7 linked regions of the Macaca mulatta genome follow. The protein of the gene in region 4 interacts with the protein of the main gene of each other region in a pairwise test. Links are inferred from orthologs where the notes say so. Each region holds a gene or a part of one and is shown on either strand. Other genes may lie near its edges.

Region 1 (4,535 bases), on a different chromosome or scaffold from region 4:
CACCCACCCACCCTATGACCCTTCCTCAGGTCTTATCTGTTCCTTTAATCTGGAGCCAATTATGATGGTGAGGAAGAATAGGGCCAGGAACATGCAGGGTTCTTCTGCTCTCCTAAGGAACACCAGGACAGGGTGCAGCTGGGAAGGGGAAGCCAAGGCACATCCTCACCTTCCATTTTCTTAATGCCTAGGCGTTTGCCTGATGACTTTCCACCAAGGTTTCTGGAGCTACCACCCGTCTTCTTGGATGCATATCTGACAGCAAGAGCTGTAGCAGGAGTGGAGCTCAGCAAGGATGTAACTGCAAAGAAAACAGAAACATTGTTCAGACAGACAGGCTCAAACTATTTCTGCCTCAATGGGGCACATGCTGAGAGGTGAGAGGTGGTGGGGAGATGAGAAAGATGTGTCAGGGGAGCAGAAGTGCCACTGAGTGTATTAGTTCTCAGGGAATACCTGAAGGTCCTTGGCTTTCTTCTTTTGGGGGAGGGGGCGGGGGAGCAGTGAAACATAAATGGAAAAAAATAAACATCATGTGTTCTGGGTCCTGACACATTTAGTCTAAATGTGCTGAGGAGAAATGGACACCACAAAGCTGCCTGCTTCAGAGGCTCACTCACCCTCATGCACCATGGAGGGGCCAGAACAGACTTGGGAAGCCCAGCACATCCAGAGAGGCTTCTGTTTCAGGCTCACTCACGACTTTTTCTTTTTTTTTAAGACGGAGTTTCACTCTTGTTGCCCAAGCTGGAGTGCAATGGGCGCAGTCTTGGCTCACTGCAACCTCCGCCTCCCGGGTTCAAGCGATTCTCCTGCCTCAGCCTCCCAAGTAGCTGGGATTACAGGTGTGTGCCACCACGCCCGGCTAATTTTTTGTATTTTTAGTAGAAACGGGGTTTCACCATGTTAGCCAGGCTGGTCTGGAACTCCTGACCTCAGGTGATCCCAAATTGTTGGGATTACAGGCCTCACCCGTGACCTTCTCAGCTATTCACTCATCCACTGCTCACCAAATACTAGTAAACTAAAAGGGTAGCTGGTCTGAAGGTGGCTCCCACAGGGTCCTGGCCATTTCAGAAGGCTGGGCCCTTTCTTCTCAAAGCACATCAAGCAGAGGTCCAACCATGACCCACAGACTGCCCTTGTTAATATGACCCCTCCATACTCATTCCAAAGTGCTCAATAGCATTCATTTGAAAAAGTAAAACAAACTAAAATTCATACTAAGATGGTAGTCCCTTGCTGTATGACAAGCTTAGGGGTGCAACTCCTTGCCTGCAGGTCTCCAGACACAGCCATGATTTAAGGCCCATGCCAGTGTCTTTAGAGAAGCTTTGTGGGTCTCTGGAGCCTGTAAGTTCAGAGTGTCTGAAGCCTGGGTTTCTGACATTTCCATGACAACATAGACTAACTGCGGCAAAGGACCAGAGATAAGGACTCAGAAAGACAACATGTTAAATGCCCAGCACCAAGATCTACCTACCTTTAAACATCTATTCATTCATTTACATACTTACTAAGCTCAGGAGCTGGGCTTTTACTTTACTTACATTATCTCATTCACAAATATTTGCTCTTCACCCTACTCCCCATCTTCCTCCTCAAAGTAAATGGTGCTACCATTCAGCCAGTTGCTTAGGCAGAAACCACAGTCACTGCGGATTCCTTCTCTTTGCTGACCTCACATATTCAGTTCCCCAGCAAGCTCTGTGGATGCTAACTCCAGAACAGATCTCAAATTCATCCATTTTCCTCCAAGTTCACTGCCACCACAAACGTCTTGGCTAAATCATCTCAGCTCAGGGATATTATGGCTTTCCATCTGATTTCCTCATTTCCACTCCTATCCCCTTTAAATTTACATTACAGGAATAGTTTGCTTCTCAAAATGTAGAACTGGCTCAAGTCACTCTCCTGTCCCTCACTCTACACAGGGCTAGGTCTCCTGTCATTCTTTTTTTTTTTTTGGGGGGGGTGGGGTGAGGATAGGGCCCCATTCTGTCACCCAGGCTGGAGTGCAGTGGTATGTACATGGCTCACTGCAGGCTCGACCTCCTGAGCTCAGGTGATCCTCCCACCTCAGCCTCCTGGGTATCTGAGACCACAGGCAAGCGCCACCACACTGGGCTAATTTTTGTATTTTTTGTAGAGATGGGGTTTTGCCATGTGGCCCAGCTGGTCTTGAACTCCTGGGCTCAAGCGATCCGCCCGCCTCGGCCTCCCAGTGTTGGGACTACAGGCATGAGCCATCATACCCCGCCTCCTGTCATTCTTTAGTTCTTAAATGTTATCTCCTCAGAAGACTTCCTTCACCGTTCAATCTAAGAAAACACACACACAAACACACACACACACACACTCATTTTCTTTCTTCACAGCACTTGCCAGTTTGCAACTACTTTATGTGTTCATTTATTGGCTTATGCACCAGAGAAAACCGTTCGGGGGCTAGAAGCCATGTCTTCACGTTTTCTGCTGATTTTCTGAACACCTGCCGCCGTGTCTACCACAAAGACAGACCTCAATTTGTTGAATGAATAGATTAATTTTTTCATCACCAATGTGCCATTGTTACTAATACTCATACAGAGAAAGGATCCACCCAAACCCCCAACCGCCAAGGAAGCCGTCCGTGCTCCTGAGGCAGGGGAAGGCCAAGTGCTCCTCCAACTCCCCCACTCATGGTTCTACCCAGGATGTGTCACGTGACCAGCGACAGCGTCCCTCAAAAATGGAGTGGCCCACACACTTCCCCTCGCATCCAGGGTCCTCCGCGGGGATCAGTATCACCTCCTTCCCTCCCTGCTGGAGCTCCACTCTGCCTCCCCGCCTCGCCCCGCTCTGACTACTGCGTCCCATTACCAGCTGTTCGGGTCCTCAGCGCCAGCACCACAGACGCCATGTTTGCGTTCACTCACTTCCGGTCTCGAAAAGGTTCTACTTCCGCTATCAGGAGATCTACTTCCGGGCCCTGCGTGGCAGTTGAAAGAGTGGCGGGAGAAGTTGCAGGTGAGTGTACCCCGCTGCAGGCCAGCGGATTAGGCGGGACTTCCCTCCTGAGCACCTATCTGCAGAGTCTTGGTGGCTAGGGCGTCCAGGAGCCTCTGCAGCGGACCGCCAGCCTGAGAGGCGCAGAGCTTGTCGGACAGGGGCCCGCTTGTCTCACTCCCCTCATTTGCAGATGTCAACGGAGGCCCAGCGAAAGGGTCAGAGATGAGGCCCCCTCCCTAGTCATTCAACTTACTTTATTCAGCCAGCTGTGTGCTAGATGCTGTACTAAGCGCGGTAGATGCATTATTTTATTTAATTTTCACCACCTTATAAAATGGGTGCTGTTATCATCCCTGTTTTACTAAGGAAGAAACTGAGGCCTAGGCAGGTTACATGTCTCCTCCTGGGTCATACCTACAGTGTTAGTAAATGTTCCAGGAATGATTAGCTTTGCATATGACCCAGCAGTTTTACTCCTAAGTATATACACGAAAGGGATTTGAAAACATACCCCCACAAAAAGTAGTACATCAGTGTTCATAGCAGCATTATTCATAATAGCCAAAAAAATGGAAACAAATTAAATGTCCAAGTGATGAATGGATAAACAAAATGTAGCATATCCGTACAATGGAATATTATTAAGTCATGAAAAGTAATTAAGTACTGATACAGGCTACATCACAGATAAACCTTGAAAACATGCTGAGTGAAAAAAGGCACAAAAGGCCACATATTGTATGATTCTATTTATATGAAATATCCAGAATAGGCAAATGCATAGAGACAGATGTATGGTTGCCAGGAGCTGGGGAGAGGGAGGGAATGGATAGTGACTGCTTAATGGCTGCAGGAATTCTTTTTGAGGTGATGAAAATAGTGATGATGGTTGCACAACATTGTGAATATACTAAAAAACTACTGAATGTACACTTTTAAAAGGATATTGTGCTGTGCAAATTATATCTCTATTTTTATTTTTATTTTTATTTTTCTTTAAAGCAGGGTCTCACTCTGTCACCCAGGCTGGAGTGCAGTGGTACAATCACAGCTCATTGCAGCCTTGACCTCCCAGGCGCAAGCGATCCTCCCACCTCAGCCTCCTCAGTATCTGGGACTACAGGTGTGAGCTACCATACCCAGCTAATGTTTGTATTTTTTTGTAGAGACGAGTTCTCACTATGTTGCCCAGGCTGTTCTTGAACTCCTGGACTCAAGTGATCCTTCTGCTTTGGCCTCCCAAAGTGCTGGGATTATAGGCATGAGCTACCATGCCCAGCCTATGTCTCAATTTTTTAAAAGAACAGTTTTTGACCAGCTGTGGTGGTTCATGCCTGTAATCTCAGCACTTTGGGAGGCCAAGGCGGGCAGATTACTTGAGTTCAGGAGTTCAAGACTAGCCTGGCCAGCATAATGAAAACCCGTCTCGGGCCGGGCGCGGTGGCTCAAGCCTGTAATCCCAGCACTTTGGGAGGCCGAGGTGGGCGGATCACGAGGTCAGGAGATCGAGACCATCCTGGCGAACACGGTGAAACCCCGTCTCT
Region 2 (3,825 bases), on a different chromosome or scaffold from region 4:
TATTGATGACAAACCTGGTCTCCAGTCTCATGGTCTCAGTCTTTGCAGCTGAGCTCCATAGAGTGGCTGTCTGCTAGCACAACACATATGACCACATATCCTGTCTCTCCGCTAGGCCAGAAAGTCGAGGGCAGGCCATTATGCTTCCTTCAGTTTCTAGGACCACACCTCGTAGGTAATATCAATAGATACTCAATAAAGAAAGAAGCAATCCTGTTTATATAAAGTTCAAAACTGGCAAAACTAATTTAAGGTAAGGTATTAAAGGTTAAAATAACGGTTACATTCTCGTTGGGGAGGGTGACAGAAATGGGGTAGTAATGTTATATTTCTTGATCTGGGTACTGTTTACATGGATTTGTTCAGTGCAAATTTATTGATCTGTATAATTATAAATTGTATACTTTTCCATATGCATGTTACATTTTGATATATTTTTTAAACACGTGAATGATATATTTTTTAAACACGTGAATGAATCAATCACTTAATCAGTGGTAGAAACTAACTTAGCTTGAACTTGAAATGCTTCCCCCAATATAGGATTCAAACTGCAAGCTAAGGCAGGGGTTGGCAAATATTCTGTATAAGAGCCAGGTATTAAGTGTCTTATGTCTCACAGAATGTGGTGTCTCTGTCAACAACTACTCAACTTTGCTACTATAGTGCAAAAAGTAGCCATTGATACTGTGTAAGTGAATGAATATGGCTGTGTTCTAATAAAACATGAACACTGAATTTTGAATTTTATATCATTTTCACAGTCCTCAAATGATAGCCTTTTGATTTGTTTTTCAATTATTAAAAAAAAAAATGTTTAACCTTTCTTAGCTCTCCAGCTATACAAAAACAGGCTGCTGGCCAGATCTGGTCCGTAGGAAGTAGCCTGCCAACTCTTGCACTAAGTGACTTTGCACATTAAACACGTTTCCTGGCCCGCACACAGGCTCAGCCTGTCCTTCCCCCAATCTGCCCCTCTGTGCTCTCCCACCTTTATAAGTAGGCAAATACTCCATCTTGTTGCTATATGGATATTTACTGTCCCGAGGTTTGATGGGGTCCACTCGACAGACAGTGTAGGGATTGTAATCTTTCTTATACGTCGTGAGCAAATCCATATTCTCTTCACTTGGGACGAACTGGTCATACTGGTGGGCCTTCACTGGTGCCACTTTGTGAGGCCCAAAATCTCTCCTGTAAGGAAGCAAGTGCATGCTGTTGGGGTCCTTGGCTTGCAATAAGGCTTATGTTTTCTGCTCAACCCAACTCTATAAACATTTGCTGAGAAGTCATGTTCTACTCTACCTGCCTTCCCCGCTCCCCTGAACTGTTTCTCCTCTATTTCCCACCTTCGGGAAGGGTACCATCAATTATGTCTCACCCAACTCAGACACCTGTACACATCTTTGACCTCCTTTCCTCACGGCCCCAGAGCCTATCATTCACCAATGCCCCTCCACCCCATTGGTTTTTCTTTCCCCTTGGTCCAGACCCTGACCATTTCTCACTTGGATCAGGTAACAGCCTGCCACCTGAGCTTCCTCCTTCATCCCTACCACTTCTATTCAATCCCCATAATGTGGCCAGAATAAACTCTCTAAATAGAAATCAGATGGCTTTCCCCAGTTTAAAACTCTTCCAGGCAAAATTCAACTTCCTAGAATAATTTATAAGCCTTTCTGGACCTGGCTCCTGCCTTACTCACCCTTGTCTCTCACTATCCCCACCCCACCTGAGCACCCTGCACTCCAACCACAATGTCACTACTTCTACTCCTGCGCTCTCCACCTTCCTTCCACCCAACCCCTTCATTGTGGAGCTAACTTCCTTTCAGGTACCTCCACCACCTTCTCTGTGTTCCCAAAAGCTTCTCCTGCTAATGTTTATCTCCTTCTTCTGCTTAGCCTACAGAAAACCCAGAAGAGGAAAATAGCGAAATAATTGGAGACCCTAAGTCCTTCATTTCTCTGCTATCTGGTGTCAGCGCCCGCATTATTTCAGGGAGTACCAAAACAACAGGATCGAAAAAGTATAATGGTCTTCGCTAAACAGGAAGCAGTCCCTCTCCAAAGTATCCCAGATAAAAAGGCCCAGATGCTCACTGCAATGCCCACCAGGAACCGCCCTAAGGAGCCAGGGCTTAGCTCAGACTTGTGTTGCCCTCCAGGGCACTCGCAACTTCCCACCTCTCAATGCTAACATTTCCCTCTGAAGGGTGTCTGCTTCACACAACGAACTGTTTTTGCCTGGAACCCATTTATTCAACCGGACAAAGGGAGGTTAGATTTTCCCTGATGGTGCTTGCCAGAACAGCCCTGTCAAGGGAAGGGGAAGGTTTCCGGACAGGAAAACATTAGGCCCAAACACCAATAAAACCCACTTCCCGGCCAAAATCTGGAGCAGCATTACTGAGCCATGCTTGACTAGCAAAGGTAACACGCTCCACTGTAACCTGTCTTGCGTGAATTATACACATGATTGTCAGTAAACCCGAACCGGGTCCTGAAAATGCTTGGTGGGATGGGAGGAGGAAGTTAGGAAGCAGGAGAATTAGTCTCTCTAGGGCTCTAAGGAGGAAATGGGAGATGCTTCAGTTGAACTCCCCTAACACCCTCTGGGTAGATTTAAAAATATATCTTAGCAGCAGTTATAGGACATTCAGCCTGGACTTCCTTTGTAGGGGCCCTGCTGTTAGCCTGAAGTGTCTGGAAGCTGACTGTGTATATCGGGGCTTATGGAGGGAATGGACTGAACAAGAAGCCAAGGGTCAGCTCCTATTATCTACTGTTCTCAATGAACAAGTACTACACCCTGGTGTCTATTCAGCACTAAACCAATTGTAACAGGGAACTAAGAGGGTAAGTCCTTAGGCTACAAAGACAAATGGAAATGCCCAGAAAACTCCATCTGAAAACCAGCTGAGTGGAAAGGGACTCTTGGTCAGAGAGTGTACATTCTAAAGGGAGTGCTCCCAAGGGAAGTTGAGCTCTCCTCACTCCCAGAAGGGATGGACAGATTTCAAGGCAGCCTGAGACCACACATTCCTAAACCCTTATAAAAGCCTGTGTTCCGTGATGGCTACCTAAGCCTGCACCCTATTCATTTCCAGGGAGTATCAGGAGGTACCAAGGGCAAGCAATGAGGAACAAAGCTGGGTGCCTATGGGTGCCTGAGCTGCTGCACTGAGCCCACCCAACCTCAAAGCACCTAGGAATGCTTTCCAGCTGTAAGCCTGCCACTCTCGGGGACCCTGCACCCAGAGTCGATGGCAGGCTCTTCTTCAGTTACTCTGACCAAGAGGACCAGCTTCCTCTCAGGGATGCCACAAAAACCTCCCTTCAAAGGCTGCCAGCCTCTTGAAAACTAAAGCACATTTACTGCCCATCTCCCACGGCTTCTACTGGAAAAGAGCAGACAAAAGCCCACAACCAAATTCACCAGTTCACAGACCATTCTGAAATTGGTTTCCCGAAGACAAAAGCCAATCATCTTTTCCAGTAGAAAATGTAAGTTCCTTTCTAAGTATTCCTCTATGGTTTAATTTATTGATCAGCTATAACTAAGGCAAATGACTACGGGGGGGTGGGGGGAGGCAATATCTACTTCTTAAGAGAAGAAAAATTTTAAAGTTTGACTTTTTTATAACCTACCTAAACATAGTTACTGTGGCTCAGGAGTGAATTTAATCAGAATTTATGTGTTTCCTCATTATGTTTTTATGTTGAGAACATTCACTGAAACCTGTCATTAACCACAACATAACTGCATGTCCCCAATCACACATAATCTTATAGCTTTTAAATTCACATAAAAGAAAAGTCTATA
Region 3 (4,403 bases), on a different chromosome or scaffold from region 4:
CCGGGTTAAAGCATATTAAGCTTATAAACTATAACCTTTTATTTGAGTACCAAAGTAGAGTACAGGACTATTTGAGTACTGGAGGAATAATATAGAAAAACTAAGCACCACTACAACATTTAATGAAAACATTGTGAAACGATGCAAAATTTCTAGAAATTCATTAGTTTGCCAAATATGTGTATACGTATGATGCCTACACCATTTTATATAATTCACAGGCAAAACAAACCAAAAACACTGAGGCATTATGGCATACATTGAATCACAGATATTTAACTATTCAAAACAAGTTACAAGTGACTTCTGCTAAAATAGTTTTAGTTTCAAAGCATGATCACTTTTACAAATTTCTATTAGTATAAAAACTAAAAACACAAGAAAGTATCAATATGTAATATAGTCCCTTCTAGGAAAAATATTAAGAAAGAATAAAGTAAAAGCTAAGTATCTACTCTTGGGTTTAATTTTTAAATTTACCATTTCTTAGTGTTTCTGATTATTTAAGCAATTCCACAGCAGCTCTAATAGCGATTTTATTCCACATATATGCTTCAAAAAATGGAAAAGTAATGAAATTCAATTTAAGTTCTGCTCTCAAATCAACTTGTGAATGAAAATCTAAATCACAGAAAACGAGCTATACATGAGTGAAATGCCTCAAAAAAGTTCTCAGACACTGCAAATATTAAATTGTAACATTCCAGCATATAATTTACTTAACTGAAAACCTATTATGTAAATGGCATAAGGTCTGAAACTGTCCCAAGACAGCAAAACTCCTATTAACTTCAGAGAGTTTATAGGACCCAGGAGCTTCATCATCCAAAAGTGTTCAGGCATTTGACACTCAATCTGAACAAAAAAAAGTACAAGTTAGTATTAGAGATTTGCATGGAACCCAGTTTGGGGAGGGGAGGAATAATTATAAAGAATTCTGAGTACTCTGAGAAAGACTTCTTTCAGAACAAAATATCGTCTTCATTTAAAATAGCAATCGCAAGGAAATGAATTGAAAAAGTTTTTTAAAATCCCAACTCTTAGTTTACAAAATATTAGCCTTAATAGCATTATAATTACCTACCCTGCTCATTGACAATCTCAAGAATAATTAGTACTGTCACATTATTCACAAGCTGCTGTCAGTTAAATCAATATATGTTTGCTGTTAGAAGACTATTTGAATAAGCATTTTAAAACTGTAAATTAAAAACTTCAATATGTGCAACTATAATAGTACGTTGTATTTGTTTTAGCACACATTCATTTTCAAAACTCTTTATTGATAAATCTATTAACTAAAAGTTAAGCTGAAAAAAATGAACAAATTTAGGGGATCTGTAAAACTGGGTTAACGCTAACCAAGAACCTACTACATAAGGACTAATAAGTATTCAAATCTACAGAGAAATATAATTTTTAAAAGAAATACTTAAAAAGGAAAAAGTTCTCTCTCCTGAGCAGGTTCAAGTCACTGTCCAAAGAAAATCAAAAAGTAAATAAAAAGAATATGTTAAGTACAAACATGCCTAGATCTTAACCACAAAGAAAGTGAAATATACACACGTTTCAAGTTGAGAAGCTTCATACATTCTTTATGAACTTGACTTCAATTTCAACTCTCAAAGGAAAATGAACAGAGTAGATTAAAAAAAAAAAACTCTTAAAGTACCATAACTGTCACAAATAACATTGTGAACTGAGTTCTCACAAAGCCTCCTTGTGTCCCTTCCCTGTTCATCACAAAGTCTCATAACCACAATGAAAATTGTTAACACTCTACTGCGGAGAAAGAGGATCATCAAAGTGAAACGGAACCTCACTACTACCCCTCCCACCTCCACATGAAGGATAAAGCACTGTCAATAACTACTAACCCAAGTATCACAGATGCCGTGCATCCGGTTTAAATCACAAGCACACACACACACACACCCCCCAAAGAAGAGAGAGGAGACAGACTTTAAAAAAGAAAAATCTCTTTCCCAGTACAGCAAAGAGAGCCCAACGAAGAGGCCCCAGGTTTCCGTGTGTGTGCAAGGGGTGTGGGGGGGTGGGGGAGTAGAAAGAGGGGGAGGGAAGAGTGCTGAATGGATATTAAGACTGTTTGCCGCACAAAGAAAACACAGTTTTAAAAAGAAAAAGGAAAACCGTGAAGCTCATGATGGTGAAAGAAGAGCAGCCCATTCAGCACCAAGCAAAGAGGGGCAAAAATGAAGGGAACAGGCGGTGGGAAAAGTTCACCAACGTACGAGGATAAAAATAACAAAACCCATAACAAGGCCCCACAAGTGAACAACAACAACAACAAAACACCACCTCTTGGGTCCCCCCCTGCACACTGTTGTCTATTTCGGCTTTGAAAGAAGCAGGAAACAAGCAGCGTTAGAAAAGAAGAAAATTAAAGAAAGAACAAATTCTTATCTCTTCACCTGACCCTTCTCCTCATACCAGACCTAAGGGAAAGATCCGGCATCCGCATCGGAAAACTGTGGCTCCCTCTCCCGCTCGGCTCGCAGCCCCCCAATCTCCCGCTCCATCCCTGAAGTGCGGCCGGCGCAGGGCCGGGGCCGGCGGGCAGCGCGGCGCCCACACCCCCGACCCAGCCGCGGCGCGCAGGGTCCATTGTAAACAAGCCCGGGGAACAGAGCCCCTCGGCGGCGGCGCCGCAGCGGCAGCCCCCGTGTCAGGAGTGAGACCCCTGCACAGCCACACTCGGCTCGCACACACGAACACACACACGCACGGACACACGCGTTCACACGCAGCCACACGCTCCCACACACATGTAGAGACCGAAGAATATTCACCTTGGCTGTGGATTATTGTGGTGTTGTTGGTGGGTGATGGAGATGGTGGTGGTGGGGAGGAGGAGGAGGAAGAGGAGGAGGAGGAGGAGAGGAGTAGTTGTTGTTGATGGGTAACAGTCGCCAGGACTACGGTGACTATGGCGCTTGATTCACAAGGCAACGGTTGCTATAACTCACAAAAGAGAGAGAGAGAGGGAGAGAGAGAGCGAGAGGGAGAGGGAGACACTCGCACGGGGAGGGGTGGGGGAGGGAAGAGGGGAGGAGGCGGGCCCGGCCAAGCCGCCGGAAGGGGAGGGAGCAGCGCTGTGACTGACGGCCCCCGAAGCCGGGCGGGGTGGCGGGGTGACGGGGCACGAGGCCGGGATTCCAACACAGGACTCCGAAGAGGTGCGCCTATGCTTGGTTGGGGCTGAGGTCACCAAGAGTCCTCTCAGAGGGACGTTACTACACGCGCTGGCGAAGCCCAGGAGAATTTAGAGTCGCGGTGCGAGGATTACTATCTGTGAAACGAGGGCTGCCTTTCCCGGCAGCCAGCTTTGTGCAGAGACGTCCCGGAGCCACGAGAGAGTAACGGCTAACCCGAGGGAGGGGGTGGCGAGGGTGATTCCAGGCACTTTGTGGAAAGACGAGCTATGGCTAAGGAAGAATCCACTTTGAAGAGCAACCCCCGCCCCTGCCCGATACGTTACTTCCGGGGCGGGGCGGGCAGAGGGGCCCGGATGTGCCGCCGTTTTTTTCGTTTCTGAGGTGCTGGCGGTGTTCCTGGTCGCGTTAGCCTGCTGGCTTTTCGCTTTCCTGGACGCTTCAGGGCTCCGCGGCCTGCGCTGGACTGGAGGATCCGCGTCACTCTCGCCCTTCTGCTTTCCGCGCTCTGACCCACTCCCGCCTGCTGAGGGCACGACTTGGAGGAGCGCGGGCGGCGGGGCGTGAGCGAGCAGCCTCTGCCGCCATCTTAGAGAAGGCGAGCGTGGGGTGCGCGTGGGCGCGAGCCGGCCTCCCGCGGCCCCGCCGCAGAGTGGCGCGGAGAGGTGAGGTCCAAGCGTGTCCGGCCCTCACTCCAGAACGAAAAGGCGAGGTCATCACTCCCTGCTTACAGGGCTGGGAGTAATTGCCTGTAGAGAGCAAGAAATTGCCCTGCCCGTAGGCTGAGAAAACGCATTTGGCGAGTCTCCTCGACGGAGGGCGTAGAGGGGCGGGGTAACTTACACCTGCCTGCGACACCATTCTGTTAGTTTCTAGTTCTGTTAGTTTAAGCCCTTACGTGCTCATCCCTCTTTAAAGACTGAACCGGGGCTTGAGCTCAAGCCTGGATCCTGTTACCTACCTTGCCCTCAGCCCCACTTAGTCAGCCTACTGTAGCTGAGGGTCTTGCTATTTCCGGCTGAATTGAGATAGACGAATGGCTTCCGTCTGTGTTGAATGTTGTTAACACAACCTGCCATCTCAAACACGCGTTGATAAGGCACAGCGTCTAATGCCTCATGGTTCGAACAGACTCCTCCAGTTTTCTGCAGACTCGAGTCCAGCAGGCACATGCCCCCAGGCCCTGCCAATACCCAAAATCTGCCAACATTTGCCACTAAGCTGCTTATC
Region 4 (4,319 bases):
GATATGTTGCCCAGGCTGGTTTCAAACTCCTGGGCTCAAGCTATCCTCTTACCTTGGGTTCCCAAAGTGCTGGGATTACACGCGTGAGCCACCATGCCAGCTCAGATTTTTTTTTTTTTTTTTGAGACAGGGTCTCACTCTGTCACCCAGACTGGAGTGCAGTAAGTCCATCTCAGCTCACTGCAATTTCCACCTCCCGGGTTGAAGCGATTCTCCTGCCTCAGCCTCCCGAGTAGCTGGGATTACAGGAGGGCACCACCACACCCGGCTTAAACATTTTTGTATTTTTAGTAGAGACGGAGTTTCACCATGTTGGCCAGGCTGGTGTCGGCTAGGCCTTTTTGTTTTTGTTTTTTTGTTATGAGTTGGGGTCTCACTCTGTTGCCAAGGCTGCAGTGCAGTGGCACGATCATGGCTTACGGCAGCCTTAAACTTCTGGGCTCAGCCAGGTGAGGTGGCTAATGCCTATAATCCCAGCACTTTGGGAGGCTAAGGCAGGTGGATCACCTGAGGTCAGGAGTTCAAGACCAGCCTGGCCAACATGGCGAAAACCCACCTCTGCTAAAAATACAAAAATTAACTGGGCATGGTGGCAGGCGCCTGTAATCCCAGCTACTCAGGAGGCTGAGGCAGGAGAATTGCTTGAACCAAGAAAGTGAAGGCTGCAGTAAGCTAAGATCATGTCATTACACTCCATCCTGGGTTACAACAGCAAAACTCTATCTCAAAAAAACAAAACAAAACAAAAAAAACCTACTCTGGGCTCAAGCAAGCCACCTGCCTCAGCCTCCTGAGTAGTTGGGACTACAGCCACATGCCACCATGCCCAGCTAGGTTTTTCTGTTTTTTGTAGAGATGGGGTTCTCACTATGTTGTCCAGGCTGGTCTTGAACTCCTGGTGATCCTCTGGCCTCAGCCTTCTAAAGTGCTGGGATTACAGGCGTGAACCACTGTGCCCAGCCTTGTCTGAAATTTGACCTGGACATTCTCAGCCTAGGCCCAGGGAGAGAATAGGAGGCCCCAGGCCCATGGGGCTTGCTGAGGACACCAGTGGGGGCAGTGGTTGCTCCAGCCCAGTCAGCCTGACTCTAGTAAGCATAACTCTTGAGATCTCCCACACAGGTCCACAGGTGTAGACACCTGCATGCTGCTTTGCCACTCACAAAGTCCATGCCCACCACCATCTCATCAGATCTCACAAAAGGCAGGCAGGACAGAGTATCATCCCCATTTTACAGATGAGCACAAGGAGGCAGGAATAGAGCAGGCTTATGCCCGAGGTCACTCAGTTATCAGGACCCAGGTCCCCTGCCTCCCAGGCCAGAGCTCTTCTGTCTCCCTAAAAATACTGCCCTGGTGATGAAGGGGATGATCAGCTTTTAAGGGCAGGGGGACAGGAGATGCACTAGAGCCTGGCTCTTCTCCCCAGCTGCCAGCCCTGTGATTGGAAGGCACCCAGAAGCCTTTCCAATGCCCCATGCCAACCATTCAACTCTTCTGTCCCCCACCCCCAACATGCCCACTATCCAGGAGGACCCCGGCCAGGTCCCACAGCTGTGAGTCAGGATCAGAACAGACCCCTCCCCCACCTTCTAGAAGCTGACAGGAGACTTAAGGGGAGAAATTCAACTCCCTCAACCCTCACCCTCTGCTACCGGGCACCAACCCCAAGCTCTGCTCTCCCCCATGGGACCTGGAAGTCAGAGAAGTCTAGGGAAGGGGGCTGGGGAGCAGGATCCCGCAGCTGCTCTGGGGACAGGAGAGGAACAGTTCATTCACCCTGGGTCCCCCAGGGCAGAGGCAGCCTGTCCAAGATTTGAGTTTAAAAATAAGTTGGGGCTGTCTTGGTGGCTGTGTGTGTCCACGGGGTTCTTCTTGATCTCGAACTTACTGTCTCAGGGCCTCTGCCCCATGGGGGATTGGTGGGCTCAGAGTTTCTGTTTCCCCAGAGCCTCACTTCCCAATGGTTCAGGTCTGGGTAAGTCAGGGGCTGTCCTGGAAGCTGTCAGCCCACCTAGGTCTCTCTGCCCCCACTAAGTCTCAGTCTCCGGTGTCTGTCTCTGCTTCACTCAGCATCTCTGTGTCTGGACACAGCTTCTGTCTTTAGCTTTTGGACGACTCTGTACCTTGACTGGCTGTCCCCCGGCGGCCCATGCCTCTGTGGATCTCAAGTCTTGGTCTCTTCTTGTCTACATGGCTGAATGTCTCAATCCCCACCACATCCCTTTCTCTGTCTCTATATCCAAGTCTCTTTCGCCACCTCTGCATGCCTGAGTGTCTCTGTCTCTAGTCTCTGAGTGTCTCTGCAGGCCTCAGAGAGCAGATTCAGCCTGAGGCCAATGACGCCCAAGCCTCAGGGCACCTCCAAGGCCTGGGGAAGGGCCCCAGGGAATGTGTTCGCTGGGGTCCCACGTATGTTTTCTGAAAATGCTCCAGAAAGCCTGGGACGGCCCCCATGTCTCGGGTCTGTCCACCGGTAACACTGTACGCCCGGTGTGTCCTTGTTTCAATGGTCTCGGTAGCCTCCTCCTGTGCCTCGAGTCCCTGCCTGTCTTGGTCTCTCGCTCCACTGGGCTCTGCGAGAACCTCAGTTTCTCCAGCGCTTCTGGTCGGTCTGTCTCTATCCGGCTTTTCTATTTCAAACTTAGCCCCCTCCCCCGCCCAACTCTCGCTGCCACCCCCGCCCCCGCCCCGCCCCGCCCGGCAGCCCGGAGGGGTCTAGTCCGGGCGGGCGCTCTCCCGGGCTCGGCGTGCCCCGGGCACCTGTGGCCAGAGCCTGGCGGGTACAGGGGGCCGGGGCCGCGGCTGGCCTCAGCCCTCCGCGGGTCCTTTCGCTCCCCGGCCTGGGCGCGGGGGCGGACTGCCGGGGCTGGGAGCCGGGGTCGGCGGGGCGCTCACCTCGAAGCGGGCGGCGGGAGCGGGGAGCGCGCGGCGCGGGCGGGGCGGGGAACCGGGCGCCGCGTCCCTCGGCGGCTCCTACCTGCGGGCCGGGCCAAGCGGGGGCCGAGCGAGCTGCCGGCTAGGCTGCCGACTGCAGACGGACCGTGTGGGCGAGTGGGAGCGCGGCCCCAACCCCTCCCCGAGGAAGTGAGCGCGGGCCCGCCCCGCCCGGACCCCGCCCCCGGCCCCCCAGCCCGCTGCGGGGGCCAGACCCCGCCCCCACCTCCCTTTCGGCCGCCAGCGGGCCCGGCCCCCTCCTCCTGCCCGGCCTAACCTGGCTCTCCCAACCTTCAGGCGGCCGGGACCCCGCCCCTGTCCCCTCCCCGCAGCCTCTGCTCTCCTCCCCTCCCACCCCCCCCCCCCCCCCCCCCCCCCGTCCCCAGCTGCCAGAGGGAGACTGTTGTATTCTATCTCAGGCCGGGGACATCAGACCCCACAGACCATGGTCCACTGGGGAAGAGTCCTGTGGCCTCCTCGGATTTCCCCACCCCCTCACCTTACCCTTAGGGGTGACACTCAACCTGGCCTTAATCCAGCCTGGAGGAGGAGGTTTTGACTCTACTGTCATGAGCCTGTCAGCGGGCACCAATGTGTTCTCTGAAAACATGGGGCGAAGAGAGGACCCCTCCCCACCACAGGGCCTTGACCTCCAAAGGGTTTTACTCCACAACTTTGAGTAGCAAAAACAGGGGTAACCACCTCCCCACCTCCAGTGGCCTCCTGACGCTGAGAAGTCCTGTCTTGCCTGGGTTTCCGCAGTGCCCAGGAATAGTTTTGACCTTTGAGGCCCAGGAGAGACCCTAATCCTTGGCCCCATGATCTTTGGGCTTCTAGGGTGGGGTGTGAGGAGTGTGAGAGGATGGGGCACTGCAGGGGTGGTGGAGGAGAGGGGAGGGGACCTCTGCAGTGTCTAAACCTCTGGCTTCCTCCCTGTGTCCGTGAGGGAGGACTGGCGCCTGCTAGGGACACGAGGCCCCTCCAGGTCCTTGAGGCCACCCCCCCTGGGATCCTCAGGCTTGTCACTAGGAATAAATAGCCTCGGTCTGGAAGGGGTGGGGGAGGGAGGGAGGCAGGAGGCTCTACTGTGCTGTTAGTGGAAACAAGAGACAACAAAGCAACCCTGGAATAACCTTAGCGTCTAGAGTGAAGATTCAGGTGCCCACAGAGGCCTCCCCACACCCCAGGCTGGGTGCAGCGGAGCTCTCACAGAGGAACTAACACCCTCCCAGGCTGGGACTCCTGAGAACCTTTCCCTCCCATCTCTGTGTCATGCCTGGGTTCCTGGGTCCCAAGTCACCCTCCAGGCCTGGTTTCCTTTCAAAATTAAATTATTGCTTGTTTATTATTGCTGTTGTTGCCTAAATGGTAAGAGCCATGAA
Region 5 (4,427 bases), on a different chromosome or scaffold from region 4:
GTGGCTCATGCCTATAATCCCAGCCCTTTGGGAGGCTGAGACAGGTGGATCACTTGAGGTCGGGAGTTCAAGACCAGCCTGATGAACATGAACATGGAGAAACCCCGTCTCTACTAAAAAAAAAAAAAAAAAAAAAAAAAAAAAAAAAAAAAAAAATTAGCCGGGTGTGGTGGTGCATGCCTGTAGTCCCAGCTACTCGGGAGGCTGAGGCAGGAGAATTGCTTGAACCCGGGAGGCACGGGTTGCGGTAAGCCGAGATTGCACCATTGCACTCCAGCCTGGGAATTAAGAGTGAAACTCCATCTCAAAAAAAAAAAAAAAAAAAAAAAAAAAATATATATATATATATATGTATATATATAAAAAAAAGTAATATATATGTAATATTATATGTAAAATTATATATGTAATATATATTACATATTATATATAATATATACACACATTTATGAAGTATGATGAACAAAACTATTTTAATAAGATACATAAAACATATCAAATATAACACAAGATCTTATACAATCTTTACAATGACTTTGCATGCAATTATGGTCTGTCATTTCTACCGTTTTTACAGATGGAGAACTAGGCTTGGAAAAGGTAAATCAATTTTTCGAAGTCACACAGCAAGTGAGAGCAAACACAAATAGTTCAGTCTGACTGGAGAAGAGAACACGTGAGTATTAGCAGCTGTAAGGTTTGGCGTTTGAATGCTGGCTTAAGTATAGATTCAGTTTTGCATACTGTGATAAATTATTAAAGCTGTCACTGGCAAGACCACTGTGGCAGCAAATTTTAAGAAGTGGAAGGAAGAATTCGGTTAAGCCAGTGTATCTCAACTTCTGCACTAATGACACTTGGGACCAGGTAATTTTGTATTGTTGGGGGCAGCCGAATAACGGTAGGATGTTTAGCAGCATCCCTGGTGTCACCAGATTCCTTACCCCCCATTTAAGAACCCCTGAGTTACGCTAAGCCAGAAGGAGGGCATAATGGTGTAAAAGAAGATGCTATCAGTGAGAAAGCAAAGAAAGAAAAAATTTGAAAGTCATTTTGACGGCAGATCTCACGGGATTTCACAATTCATGAAACCTATGGATGAGAAGAGAAAGGTATTAAAACTAGCTTCCTTCTCTGAAATTTTCAAAAACTATGTTATGAATCACAAATAAAATCTTAGATTACAAGTAGAGAATGGTGCTTTTGTTTAAAAAAAGAAAAATCACCATTTCACCAGTCCCTGATGAATCCAGAGGATACTTACATCACCAACTCACCAATAAAATAACTTTCAGATAAAAAGAGTAATTTTCACAATAATTTCTAACTTCTATTTTTCTAACGTTGGGCTATGTTTTAATAATTAATTCCTTAACAGACCTAACTAAAATATACATGAAAGTAGTTTTCATACAAAAGATGGCTTTGATACAAATATACCTTTAAATGCAATATTATTATTATTTGAAACAGAGTTTCGCTCTTGTTGCCCAGGCTGGAGGGCAATTGCTAGATCTTGACTCACTGCAGCCTCCACTTCCCGGGTTCAAGCGATTCTCCTGCCTCAGCCTCCCGAGTAGCTGAGACTACAGGCGCGTGCCACCATTCCTGGCTAATTTTTTGTATTTTTAGTAGAGACGGGGGGTTTCACCATGTTGGCCAGGCTGGTCTCGAACTCCTGACCTCAGGTGATCCACCCACCTTGGCCTCCCAAAGTGCTGGGATTACAGGCGTGAGTCACCGCCACTGGCCGCAAAATTATTAAATAGGAACTTTTCCTTATGTCTGACTTCCAGGGGCCTGGTAATAAATGAACTATACACAAAGCCAACCACATGCTACACCAGAAAAAATTGATTCCTGTAAAAATTTTGCATCCTCTGTGCAATCCAATAAATACATGTAGAATTCCAGCATCAGGGAGTACAAGCAAAACAGAGACGTACTGAGGAAACACATAACCTGTTAAGTCCAGTCAAAAAGTATTTGAGGAGTTTAAAGTTTTACGTTGAGTCCTACATAAATTAAGGCTCTCCTCCTTAAAGTTGTTTGTCTTTACTGGGTGTGTAAAAGAAACTTAAAAAAATTAGCCTTCTCTGATTAGAAAAAAATTAATGTTCTAAAAAAAATTTTATTTTTTAGAACATTAATTTTAGAAATGAATGTTCTTACATAGTTTCAATATCAGAGCAAGATAACACATGACATTCAAGCTTAATGTAAAAATAGGCAACAAAAAAGAATGAGGTTTCTAAGTAAAAGCTCAAAGAAACACCTACAAACACATTCTCTAAGGCTAAAGTGGCTTTTGGATTCCGATGCCTCACGTAGTTTTAAAAACACTTCCCTTCCATCCCCTCCTTAGTTCCTTTAGAGAATTTCCCCCTCTAGCCGTCTATCTAGAATATGATGCTATTAGAGATGTTCAACAAAAGCTGGCATTGGAGATCTTCAAGGAACGAGGGACAGCGCCGGGTGACTAGGGGCCGGAGCGCGGGACAGAGAGACTAGTCGGCCAGAAGGAGGTGCGGTGGCTGCCGGCGGTAACCACGCCAATGCGCGAGCTCTGCGCGGGCTTCACGTCTCATGAGCCGGAGCCTGGCCGGGATGCCGGCGACCTCGGACCGGAAGAAGAAATAAGGTGAAGCGGCTCAAGCCATTCGGCTTGAAACACCAAGGGACTCGGGGGACGCAAAGAAGCGACCACTTCGGTTTGGCTCTCACACATACTTACTTTTTCAACTCGGGAGGGTGAGCTTTGCTCATGGCGTATACTCCGCGGACTCACAGACGCCTTGGAACTGAATGCACGGCTTCCCTCAGGCTCCCGCGGTAGGCCCGGCGTCTTGCGTTTGGCGTCATCGACCTAGTTAGCCAATCGATTGTTGGCAGTTTTTAACACTTCACATCGCGATATCTGAGCGCCTCGGTCATTGCTGAGCTTCCGGTTGCGTCGTCAGCTATTGGCCAGGACAGAGGGGTGGGCCCTCTAGGCACCTTTCTAAATTCGGTTTTCCTTGGGCAAAATTGAGATAACGGGTATTCTGACGATGGAGTATCCGTGTTCTTGTCTATGGAACAGCCAAAAAAAAAAAAAAAAAAAAAAAAAAAAAAAAAAAAGCCTGGCGCCGTAAATCCCAGAACTTTGGATCTCTTGAGCCCAGGAGTTCGAGACCAGCTTGGGCAACATAGGGAGACCCCCTCCTCTATTTAAAAAATAAAATTGAAATACTGAGATAACAGTCCCCTCTCTAACTTCTGGGCAAACCCGGCAAATCCCGCATGTCTGTGGATCGTATCGCTTGTTTTCTTCATCTAAACCAAAATACCAAATAATGATCCCTGGAGGAATGGGCCTCTATATTTCTTTTTTTTTTCTGAGACAGTCTCGCTCTGTCCCCCAGGCTGGAGTGCAGTGGCTCGGTCTCGGCTCACTGCAAGCTCCGCCTCCTGAGTTCACGCCATTCTCCTGCCTCAGCCTCCTGAGTAGATGGGACTACAGGCACACGCCGCCACGCCCGGCTAATTTTTTGTATTTTTAGTAAAAATGGGGTTTCACTGTGTTAGCTGGGATGGTCTGGATCTCCTGACCTCATGATCCGCCCGCCTCGGCCTCCCAAAGTGCCAGGATTACAGGCGTGAGCCACCCGCGCCCAGCCGGGCCTCTATATTTCTTTGGCAGGTATCCTACAGCATACTTTCAGACCAAGTAGGGTTCCGGTAACATGCAAATTAGCAGCCTCTGCACCATTTGGAGAGTAAGGTGACTGGGCCTGTCTCCAAGAATTTCAATCTATTTCCGACTGATGGGTCTTGCAAAAAAAAATTTTTTTTTGTTTTGAGATGAGGTCTTGCTCTGTCACCCAGGCTGGGATGCATGATGTGATCATGGCTCACTGCAACCTCGAACCCCTGGCCTCAATCAATCCTCCCACCTCAGCCTCCTGAGTTGTTTAGACTACAGGCGCAAGCCACTGCACCCAGCTAATTTTTTTTTTTTTTTTTTTTTTTTTTTTTTTTTTTTGTAGAGACGACGTCTTGCTTTGTTGCCCAGGCTGTTCTCGAATTCCTGGCCTTAAGAGATCCGCCTGCCTCCAGCTCCCAGAGTGCTGAGATTACAGGCATGAGCCAGCATGCCTGGCAGTTCTGCAATTTTTCAAACATTACCTCCAGAACTCACTGATGTGCCATTGCCCCGTATATAAAACGTGAAGTGCAGCACACAAACATTCTCTAATACAAGGTATTCCTTTTTCATGTCAAGATGTGTAAAAAGTGGCCTCGGACTTGTTCCCAGTTATGTTACCCCAAAATAGGAGAATGCACGGATTATAGAAGACTAAACCAAAATAGAATGCCGTGTTGATTTTAAATAGGGGATGGTTCTCAAAAATTCAGTTAATTCCTGATATTCTGGAATGACTCTA
Region 6 (3,825 bases), on a different chromosome or scaffold from region 4:
CCGCTTGAGAGGGGCCATCAGAGAAGCAGGCTTCCTCCTCACCACAGTGTCTCCTAAGATGGAAGAAGAGGGCGCGCTCAGGCATCAGCCACCTGTCAGTCAACACCACCACACCAAGGGACTGCATCGCCTGCTCCTTCCTACTGAGGCCAGGGGGTCCTCGACGGAGCAGCATCAGAGCCCCAGGGACATGTCTTCAGCACCACTCCCTCCACGGGGCCTGCTCCCACCCCAACCACACAGAGCGAGGGGTGGCTCCCTGCCTTGGAGCTGGCTGAAGAGAACGCTGATATGATAACAAAGCAGCTCTTATAAAACAACAGGCATCCCTGATAGGTCACTGGACGTGGACTCAATTTTATTTTAATTTAGGCCAGATGTAGTGATTCACACCTGTAACCCCAGCACTTCAGGAGGCCGAGGCGGGAGGATCACTTAAGGCCAGAAGTTCACCACCAGCCTGGCAACAGGGAGACCGTGTCTTTACAAAAAATAAAATAATTAGACAGGTGTGGTGGCACGCGCCTGCAGTCCCAACTGCTCAGGAGGCTGCGGTGGGAGGAAAGCTCGAGCCTGGGAAGTTGAGGCTGCAGTGAGCCATGACTGCACCACTGCACTCCAGCCTAGATGACAGAGCAAGACCATCTCAAAAAAAAAAAAAAATTAAAAATTAAAAAATAGTAACAGGCCTCTCTGGCCACTGAGAAACTTCTCACTAGAAAGCATGTATTCAAGGATGACCAGTGCAAAAGGGCCGCAATTAACCTGGAGACCCCAGGCCTGTGGCAGTCTCAGGAATGGAACCAGAAATGCTATGTTTGAAAACTGACACGAGTAAAGCAGTATTTCTGGAAGCATGCGGGACAGGGGGCCCGGCCATGAAGCGCAGGCTCTGTGCAGCTCTGCAGACCTCAGCCACCAACCTAACAGGCAGACACTTTTACCACGAAATCAAGGGCCCGGGATCAGCTGCTTTGGGAAGACTTATTTCCACCCCCTCCCAGTGTCTCAGCCTGGAGTACAGTGGCATGATCTCGACTCACTGCAACCTCTGCCTCCTGGGTTCAAGCGATTCTTCTGCCTCAGCCTCCTGAGTATCTGGGACTACAGGCATACGCCACCACGCCCAGCTAATGTTTGTATTTTTAGTAGAGACAGAGTTTCACCATATTGGCCAGGCTGGTCTTGAACTCCCAACCTCGTGATCTGCCCGCCTCGGCCTCCCAAAGAGCTGGGATTACAGGCGTGAGCCACTGCGTCCAGCCGGGAAGACTTTCTTCATGGCAAAGAATGGGTTCTTTCAGAGGACATTTCTGTAATGTACAAAAGAACCTGCAAAAACAAAAGCACCTCGGGAGACAGAAGGCTGGGAAAGGCCCATGAAGGGCAGAGCTCTCTCAGTAATGGAGGAATCTAACAGGACTGCTGCTAACGGAGCCCCAGGCGAGCCCTCCTGCAAGGCGGCTCCCTGCCAGCGCCCAGGCAGGGCTGAGAAGGGGCCTGGCTGTGGATCTTGCTGGGTTTCAGCAGCACAGAGGCCCACTGACCTCGGACGCAACATACACCTGGGGAAGTGCGCGGGCCCAGCGGAGACGTAACTGCCAAGAGTCTGGACTCACGGTAGTCTTCAGACTCGTCCAGGATCTCGGACCTGATGATCTCCTCGATCACGTCCTCCAGGGTGACCAGGCCCAGGACCTCGTAGAAGGGGTCGCCCTCACCCTCGTTGTTCACCTTCTGCACGATGGCCAGGTGGGACTTCCCTGCGGGCGGAGGACACTCATGGAACAGCTTGCTGGGCCCCCGCACTTTGATTCATCTCCCTCGGGGCCCACCAAAAGGACGTGGCTAATGTTCATGTTCCTACAGCGGGTCAGGCACAGCCAGACTCTTTTCTAGGTTTTTACTTAAGACGCCCAGCATGACTATGAGGACTGGCCTTATTTTCACACGGGTTGAAAATGAAGCCCTGGGCTCATGCTTGCTCATCTGCACAGGCCCCCCAGGCAGAGGTGGCCGAGCTGGGATCCAGCTCCAGGTCTGTGCGCCTCCATGCCATGGATGCAGTTCAGACAAGCATCCAGTCGAGAACACATGCGCCTCACACAGCAGCCAGCCTGCATATGCAGGCTAACAAGGGCATGACTCCGGAAACGCAGGCTCTCCTGCGGCAGTCCACACGGGGCGGCTGAGTGAGGCCACCCAGCCTGACTCTCCTCGGGAGGTTTTCCTAATTCTTTTTTTTTTTTTTTTTTTTTACAGTAAATATATATGCTGTCCATCCTATGTAAATGTGAACTCCTTCTTGTCCTTATGATAGAAACGAAAAAGAGATAGAAAGATAGATAGACTGTGTGTATGTGTGTGCGTGTGTGTGTCTGTGTATCTTTCCGTTTTCCTAATTCTTAGAGCTGCCCATTAGGGTCTGTGAACCAGGGGATGAGACGCGTGGCAGCTGACCACTCAGGAGTCAAGCTGTGCAGGAGGAGGAGCACCAGGCTGATCTTCCGCCTTACCCTGTCTTTCTTTCTCAGGTTAGCTTCCTGTTTGGTTTGTCTGCTTAGTGAGGGAATGTAAACTTGGAAAAAAGCCCAAGTCTCACAGTGTTGGGGAATGCTGGGGAGGCTTCAGGAATTTACTGTGTCAGGTAAGTGCTTTTCATCCACACTACTTTAGACCCGTCTGAAAAAACCAGAACGCAAGCCACCTAAGTAATTTAAAATCTGAACGGCTGCGTTAGAAAAGTCAAAACAAACACACAAAATTAAGTTTTATATTGTAAGTAACCCAATATAGTCAAAACAGCATTTCAACATGTCATCAATCCAAAAAATAAACACAGACATTTCGTCTATTTTGCACTCTCTGAATCTGGTGTGTTTTATGCTCACAGCACATCTCAACTCAGACTCCACCTTTAGGTACCACAGCCCCAGGTGGAGGGGGCTGCCGGCCTGCGCTGCACAGGGCCAGCACAGGGGATGGGAGCAATTCATCCAGCCAGGCCCTCCTTTGTCACTAACGGAAACACTGAGGGAAACTGGCCTGGACCTGCCTGTGAGGGGGACCTGCTTCAAGACTCTCTTGAGAAATCAAAAAGTCAAGTTCACGTTGTGTGGATCATACTTTACATCCCGTGAGCTTGATTTAAAAAAGCACAGTTCTCCAGGATGCTTGCATTCCCCTGGACAAAAAGCTGGAAATGGCCACACGAGTCATCTCCCCGCTTTCTAGGAGGAAAGGCTAGGGCCCCTGGAGATGGCCACTCAGCCCTCTGAACCGCATTTCTAGACACCTTCTAACCCTCGGTGCTTGTGCTGGGTGCCGTCTCTACGTGGGCCACGGCTGCCCCGCCAGAGTACAAACCTGTCAGGCCAGGCCAGGAAGGCCACGCGCGACTTGTGGTTTTGGTTAATGCCTCGGATTCCAGCACCAAATCCCAGGATCTAAACAGCCACCTCAGCGTAGAGAGGCCTCATCTCGACTCCCTTCTCCCAGGAAGCCAGCCCCTGTCACAGGTTTCCTGCAGAAAGGGACTCACTCCTTTGCTTTCAGACTTCTCGAGAACAAGGCACACAACTCTCCATTTCCTGCCACACTGGGATGACTCTACCACGAACAGAAGAAAGCAGGCCCTGGAAGATCCCCCGGAACAGTGGTTGTGTGACTGAATCCCAAGAAGAACGTCTGGGGGGTCTAGATGGCAGCCAAAGATGGCAGCAGGGGGACAGAGCAAGGGCAGCTGGAGGGACTCAAGGTCACCTCTCATGTGCTGAGCCACCAGAGTGGAACCACTCACACCGACGCCGGCCTGCAGGCCAGCTC
Region 7 (4,425 bases), about 37 Mb from region 4:
CACGGTGTGGGATTTTGGATGGACGAGTGTTTGGGGTGAAGGCACATGACAGGTGGGTTGTAGCTGGGTGGGTCTGTGAGATGGACGGGTGGGTGGTGTCAGGCCCAGTGGGCTGGGGACGTGTGGGATCTTCCCTGTTTAGCCGAGGGGAAGAGGCTGGGTTTATGGGATGGGCGTTTGGCCCTCTAAATGACAGGTGGAAGGTGGATTCAGGGTGCTGACGGGTGGGGGCTAGGGCCAGCCTGGGAACCCCGGTAGGCAGGGGCAGGGGCAGGGGCAAGGGCGGGTGCAGGGGTGGGTGCAGGGGCAGGGTCAGGGACAGGGATGGGGCAGGGGTGGGGGCGGGGCAGGGGCAAGGGCAGGGATGGGGCAGGGATGGGGCAGGGTCAGGGTCAGGGACAGGGATGGGGCAGGGGTGGGGGCGGGGCAGGGACAGGGGCAGGGATGGGGCAGGGATGGGGCAGGGATGGGGCAGGGGCGGGGGCGGGGGCGGGGACAGGTCAGGGGCAGGGACAGGGCAGGGGCAGGGGCGGGGGTAGGGGCAAGGGCAGGTGCAGAAGCAAGGGCAGGGACGGGCAGGGGCGGAGGCAGGACCAGGGGCAGGTGCACGGGTGGGGGCAGGGGCAGGGCAAGGACGGGGCAGGGGCAGGGGCAGGGGCAGGGACAGGGGCAGGGATGGGGCAGGGATGGGGCAGGGGCGGGGGCGGGGGCGGGGACAGGTCAGGGGCAGGGACGGGCAGGGGCAGGGGCGGGGGTAGGGGCAAGGGCGGAGGCAGGACCAGGGGCAGGTGCACGGGTGGGGGCAGGGGCAGGGCAAGGACGGGGCAGGGGCAGGCGCAGGAGCAGGGGCAGACTCACCTGGCCTGGGTCCCCCCCGGCGCCTTGCTGGCCTTGCTCATGGCCCATGCCCGCCCCCGAAGGGTGCTGAGCAGCCCGATCTTGGTGGTGAGGAGCTTGTTGTTGGGAAGCTGGTACAGCAGCTGCTCTCCTGGAGGTCAGAGGCCAGGGCACGTGTGGAGGGCGTGCAGGACCTCGGTCCCCACTCCTCCAGTCTGCCCTGTGCTCCGGCCCAGGAGGCCCCTCTGCAGGCTGCCCCCCGTGGCGCCGGCTCCCGCTACCTTCCCGGAAGCTGCCGTAGCTGTCTCGGCTCTTCACCTCACACCACTTCAGCACATAGTCCTCCCGGCGGCTGTCCTGGATGCGCCGCCAGCCCTTGCTTTTGCAGTAGGAGCTGATGCTGCAGGGGGGCCGGGGTGGGGGTGACCTGGGGGCCCGGGTGAGGCCGGCGGGCGGCCAGCGGAGGCCGGGCTGTGCCCTGGGAGCAGGCGGTGGGCATGCAGCGGGACAGGACCGCCCAGGGCCCCTACTCACATCGCAGCCCCGTTGTTGCCTCCGATGTAGAAGAAAGGTCCCGGCCTCGTGCTGTGGGGCGATGGCTTCCCGTCCCCCAGCAGGAGCCCCTCCAGGAGGGCAGCTGGGGGCCCAGTGGCATCAGTGTCATCCGAGTCTGCAGGCGGGTGGCTGGTCAGGAGCCCAGGGGGTCCGGGCGTGGTGGAGACTCTTCCTGCCCCCTCCAGGTCCAGCCCGCCGTGCCCACCTGTGTCGTGGTCTGGCTGGCTTGGCTGACACGGGAGTCCCTCCTCCTGGCTGCTCCCCATTGGCCTCTCATGGGCTGGGCCTGTGAACGGGGTGGGGTCCCACCCGGGTGGCTACGGGAGCTGTCCACTCAGCCCAGACATGGCTCAGTCAGTTCGCTCCCAGCCCATTTCTCCAAGACCCTGGACAACCCCCCTGGCCCATTTGGGGCTCAAGTTCAGCCCGAGCTCCGACCCAACCAGGCGGCCTGGGGACTGCTTACACCTGGGGAGGGGCTGCGACCACCCTCCAGGGCCAGCCTTCCTGCCAGGGTGGGGAGCTCGGAGCAGGGGGCAGGGAGGTCGACCCCCACCCTCCTCACCAACAGGGCAGTGGCCTGGTGCAGGACAGGGGCTAGGCTGTGAGGCCAGTGCTGGGTGCAGACGTGACACAGGGATGGTCCCAGGAGGGCAGGGGTCACAATGTCCATGATGATGTCACGGGTGACCCAAGGGGCCATTGTCAGGCAGGGGAGATGAGGGGCTGCCCTTCTGGGAACAGGCAATGCTGCCCAGCGGCTGCCCATGGGGGTGGTGCCAGCCAGGCAGAACCCTGGGCCGCGGAGCGCGCACCTCCCCTCTGTGCCTGTAGAGCCTGGCGCCCACAGCTGGGCCTTTTCTCGGAGCAGCAGGGCGTGGCCGTGTGTGGGTCCTGCCCCTGCCCCATGAGACCGACTGACTTCCTTGGGGATGGAAGTCCGTCCCAGGGAGGCCTTGGCTTTGGAGAGGAAGGAGGCCACTCAGGGCTGCTCTATTCACCTGGGACTCGAGCCCGAGGCCGCCGCTGGATCCTTGGTCTCTTGCCCCTCTTGGAGCCGGCTTGGGTCCGAGTGGGCGGTCCCCGGCGATGGACGAACCGGGTGCAGCTGTGGGCCATTGGCCGGGGGGCGCCAGGCCGAGGGCCCTGCAGGGAAGATGCTGCTTTGACCCTCCTGTGGGAACTTCGGGCAGCCCGAGGCCCCAGCACTTGGATGGAGCAAGCAGTCAGGCCCACCCTGCCCAGGAAAGGGCGCCTCCCAGGGCCGTGGACTTGAGCCTCTGTAGGTGGCTGGCTCCTGCCTCCGTGGCAGCCGTGGGGCTTGGCGCCGTGGGGGGCCGAGGCTGTCTCTGCACCCTGTCTCTGCCGGGCGAGTCCTCCCCTGCCGGAGCTGCTCCTCGGGCGTGGGCGAGCTCGGCCTGGGTGCCAGCTGGAAAGAAGGACAGCGTCAGGCCTGCCGGGTGAGGCACCTGCCTGAAGAGTGGAGGGTGGGGGGACTCCCTGGCCCGAGCAGGGGTCTCCTCTGTCTCCGCTGCTGATCCCAGAGGCCAGTTGTGGGCTGTGTGCAGCCACCTGGTACCTGCCATCCGGGTTCCTCTGCGGCCGCCCCCGGGCGCCAGGCCCGACCCCCAGGACACTGTCCCCAGCACCTTCCTGTGTTGTGACTCAAGAACATCTCAGGAATTTTCAGCCAGTTCCTTGACAGATCCTGCTACCGCCGTCTCCAGCAAACAAAGCCATCTTGGGGCTGCTTGGGAGCTGAGGCCTTTTTTTTTGTTTGAGGCGGAGTCTCGCTCTGTCTCCCAGGCTGGAGTGCAATGGCGCGATCTCGGCTCACTGCAACCTCTTCCTCCCGGGTTCAAGCGATTCTCCTGCCTCAGCCTCCCGGGTTGCTGGGACTACAGGCGCCGCCACCACGCCCGGCTAATTTTTTGTATTTTTAGTAGAGACAGGTTTCTCCATGTTGGTCAGGCTGGTCTCAAACTTCTGACCTCAGATGATCCACCCACCTCGGCCTCCAAAAGTGCTGGGACTACAGGTGTGAGCCACCGCGTGTGGCTTAGGTGAGGACTTTCAAGGGTTTGAAGGAACTCGCCCAGGAGACAGGGGAGCACACGGCAGTGGAGGCTCTGAGGCTAGAGAAGGCTGGAGCAGGCCTGAGGCTCCAGGCTGGGGGCAGAGCTCTCCAAAGGCAGCCCCTGCGGCTGACCTGACCTGCAGAGATGGCGGCATCGCTTTCGGCTGCACGAGGCCTTTGTGTCTGCCCCTCCCTGCCCCACCTGAGTGACAGGAGGGAAGGAGACAACGAGGAAGCCCACGGGCAGGGGAAGGCGGGTAAACCGAGGCAGCCGTTCGCACGATGACCCAGCTGGGTGGGGCCACTGGGGCCCGTCCTGGGGGAGGAGCAGAACACAGGCTGGGCCCCGCACCTGTGGCCGGGAGAGCCTCACGCCCTCTTCCTAGGGTGGGCTGGGCACGAATGGAAGAAGTTGGGAGCCCTGAGACCCCTCCCCACTCAGAACAGGAGGACTATTGGAGGAGGCTGGACCCTGCGCTGACATGGAACAGGCACGTGCGTACGATACTCTGCCTTCAATGGAGACCTCAGCTCCTTCTCATGGGTTCTCAGCACCCAGGAGTCCTGCTGGGGAAGGGGATCCTCTAAAGTTCTGACTCACAACCAAAGGGGCTGCCCAGTCCCGACAGCATCATCAGAGGGACTCCCAGGTGTGAACGAGAATGACAGGTCTACACACGCACACACACACGCACAGACATGTCTACACACACGTCTACACAGACACACACACCTACACACAGACACAGGTGTACACACACAGACACGTCTACACACACCTACACACACACACACGTCTACACACACATGCACAGACACATCTACACACACGCACAGACACAGACACGTCTACGCAGACACACACACACCTACACACAGACACACAGACATGTCTACACACACAGACATGCACAGACACAGACACACCTACACACAGACACAGACATGTCTACACA

Evidence for each region.
Region 1: the proteins of FHL3 (region 4) and MRPL27 interact in binary tests that used the Homo sapiens proteins (3 or more experiments, as listed by UniProt). The two-hybrid records come from large-scale screens. The link is inferred for Macaca mulatta from reciprocal best matches to the Homo sapiens genes FHL3 and MRPL27.
Region 2: the proteins of FHL3 (region 4) and SAXO1 interact in binary tests that used the Homo sapiens proteins (3 or more experiments, as listed by UniProt). The two-hybrid records come from large-scale screens. The link is inferred for Macaca mulatta from reciprocal best matches to the Homo sapiens genes FHL3 and SAXO1.
Region 3: the proteins of FHL3 (region 4) and RFX3 interact in binary tests that used the Homo sapiens proteins (3 or more experiments, as listed by UniProt). The two-hybrid records come from large-scale screens. The link is inferred for Macaca mulatta from reciprocal best matches to the Homo sapiens genes FHL3 and RFX3.
Region 5: the proteins of FHL3 (region 4) and SNRPG interact in binary tests that used the Homo sapiens proteins (3 or more experiments, as listed by UniProt). The two-hybrid records come from large-scale screens. The link is inferred for Macaca mulatta from reciprocal best matches to the Homo sapiens genes FHL3 and SNRPG.
Region 6: the proteins of FHL3 (region 4) and CNNM3 interact in binary tests that used the Homo sapiens proteins (3 or more experiments, as listed by UniProt). The two-hybrid records come from large-scale screens. The link is inferred for Macaca mulatta from reciprocal best matches to the Homo sapiens genes FHL3 and CNNM3.
Region 7: the proteins of FHL3 (region 4) and TTLL10 interact in binary tests that used the Homo sapiens proteins (3 or more experiments, as listed by UniProt). The two-hybrid records come from large-scale screens. The link is inferred for Macaca mulatta from reciprocal best matches to the Homo sapiens genes FHL3 and TTLL10.

Annotation. Positions count from the first base shown.
Region 1 is NC_133421.1:59,626,848-59,631,382, reverse strand, and holds the start of MRPL27 (large ribosomal subunit protein bL27m), read right to left. Parts: upstream 2,917-4,535; 5' UTR 2,903-2,916; coding exon 2,863-2,902; intron 302-2,862; coding exon 170-301; intron 1-169.
Region 2 is NC_133420.1:80,253,187-80,257,011, reverse strand, and holds part of SAXO1 (stabilizer of axonemal microtubules 1), read right to left. Parts: intron 1,195-3,825; coding exon 992-1,194; intron 1-991. UniProt on the Homo sapiens protein: May play a role in the regulation of cilium length. Stabilizes microtubules at low temperature.
Region 3 is NC_133420.1:95,924,297-95,928,699, reverse strand, and holds the start of RFX3 (transcription factor RFX3), read right to left. Parts: upstream 2,953-4,403; 5' UTR 2,811-2,952; intron 1-2,810. UniProt on the Homo sapiens protein: Transcription factor required for ciliogenesis and islet cell differentiation during endocrine pancreas development. Essential for the differentiation of nodal monocilia and left-right asymmetry specification during embryogenesis.
Region 4 is NC_133406.1:202,788,699-202,793,017, reverse strand, and holds the start of FHL3 (four and a half LIM domains protein 3), read right to left. Parts: upstream 3,086-4,319; 5' UTR 2,899-3,085; intron 2,612-2,898; exon of another isoform or gene 2,269-2,611; coding exon of another isoform or gene 2,127-2,268; intron 1-2,126. UniProt on the Homo sapiens protein: Recruited by SOX15 to FOXK1 promoters where it acts as a transcriptional coactivator of FOXK1.
Region 5 is NC_133418.1:54,435,650-54,440,076, reverse strand, and holds the start of SNRPG (small nuclear ribonucleoprotein G), read right to left. Parts: upstream 2,855-4,427; 5' UTR 2,767-2,854; coding exon 2,735-2,766; intron 2,619-2,734; exon of another isoform or gene 2,288-2,618; coding exon of another isoform or gene 2,280-2,287; intron 1,093-2,279; exon of another isoform or gene 992-1,092; coding exon of another isoform or gene 945-991; intron 1-944. UniProt on the Homo sapiens protein: Plays a role in pre-mRNA splicing as a core component of the spliceosomal U1, U2, U4 and U5 small nuclear ribonucleoproteins (snRNPs), the building blocks of the spliceosome.
Region 6 is NC_133418.1:5,489,118-5,492,942, reverse strand, and holds part of CNNM3 (metal transporter CNNM3), read right to left. Parts: intron 1,764-3,825; coding exon 1,548-1,763; intron 54-1,547; coding exon 1-53. UniProt on the Homo sapiens protein: Probable metal transporter.
Region 7 is NC_133406.1:239,503,172-239,507,596, forward strand, and holds the start of TTLL10 (inactive polyglycylase TTLL10), read right to left. Parts: upstream 3,041-4,425; 5' UTR 2,512-3,040; coding exon 2,390-2,511; intron 2,040-2,389; exon of another isoform or gene 2,035-2,039; coding exon 1,958-2,034; exon of another isoform or gene 1,859-1,957; intron 1,679-1,858; coding exon 1,372-1,678; intron 1,238-1,371; coding exon 1,119-1,237; intron 989-1,118; coding exon 859-988; intron 1-858. UniProt on the Homo sapiens protein: Inactive polyglycylase.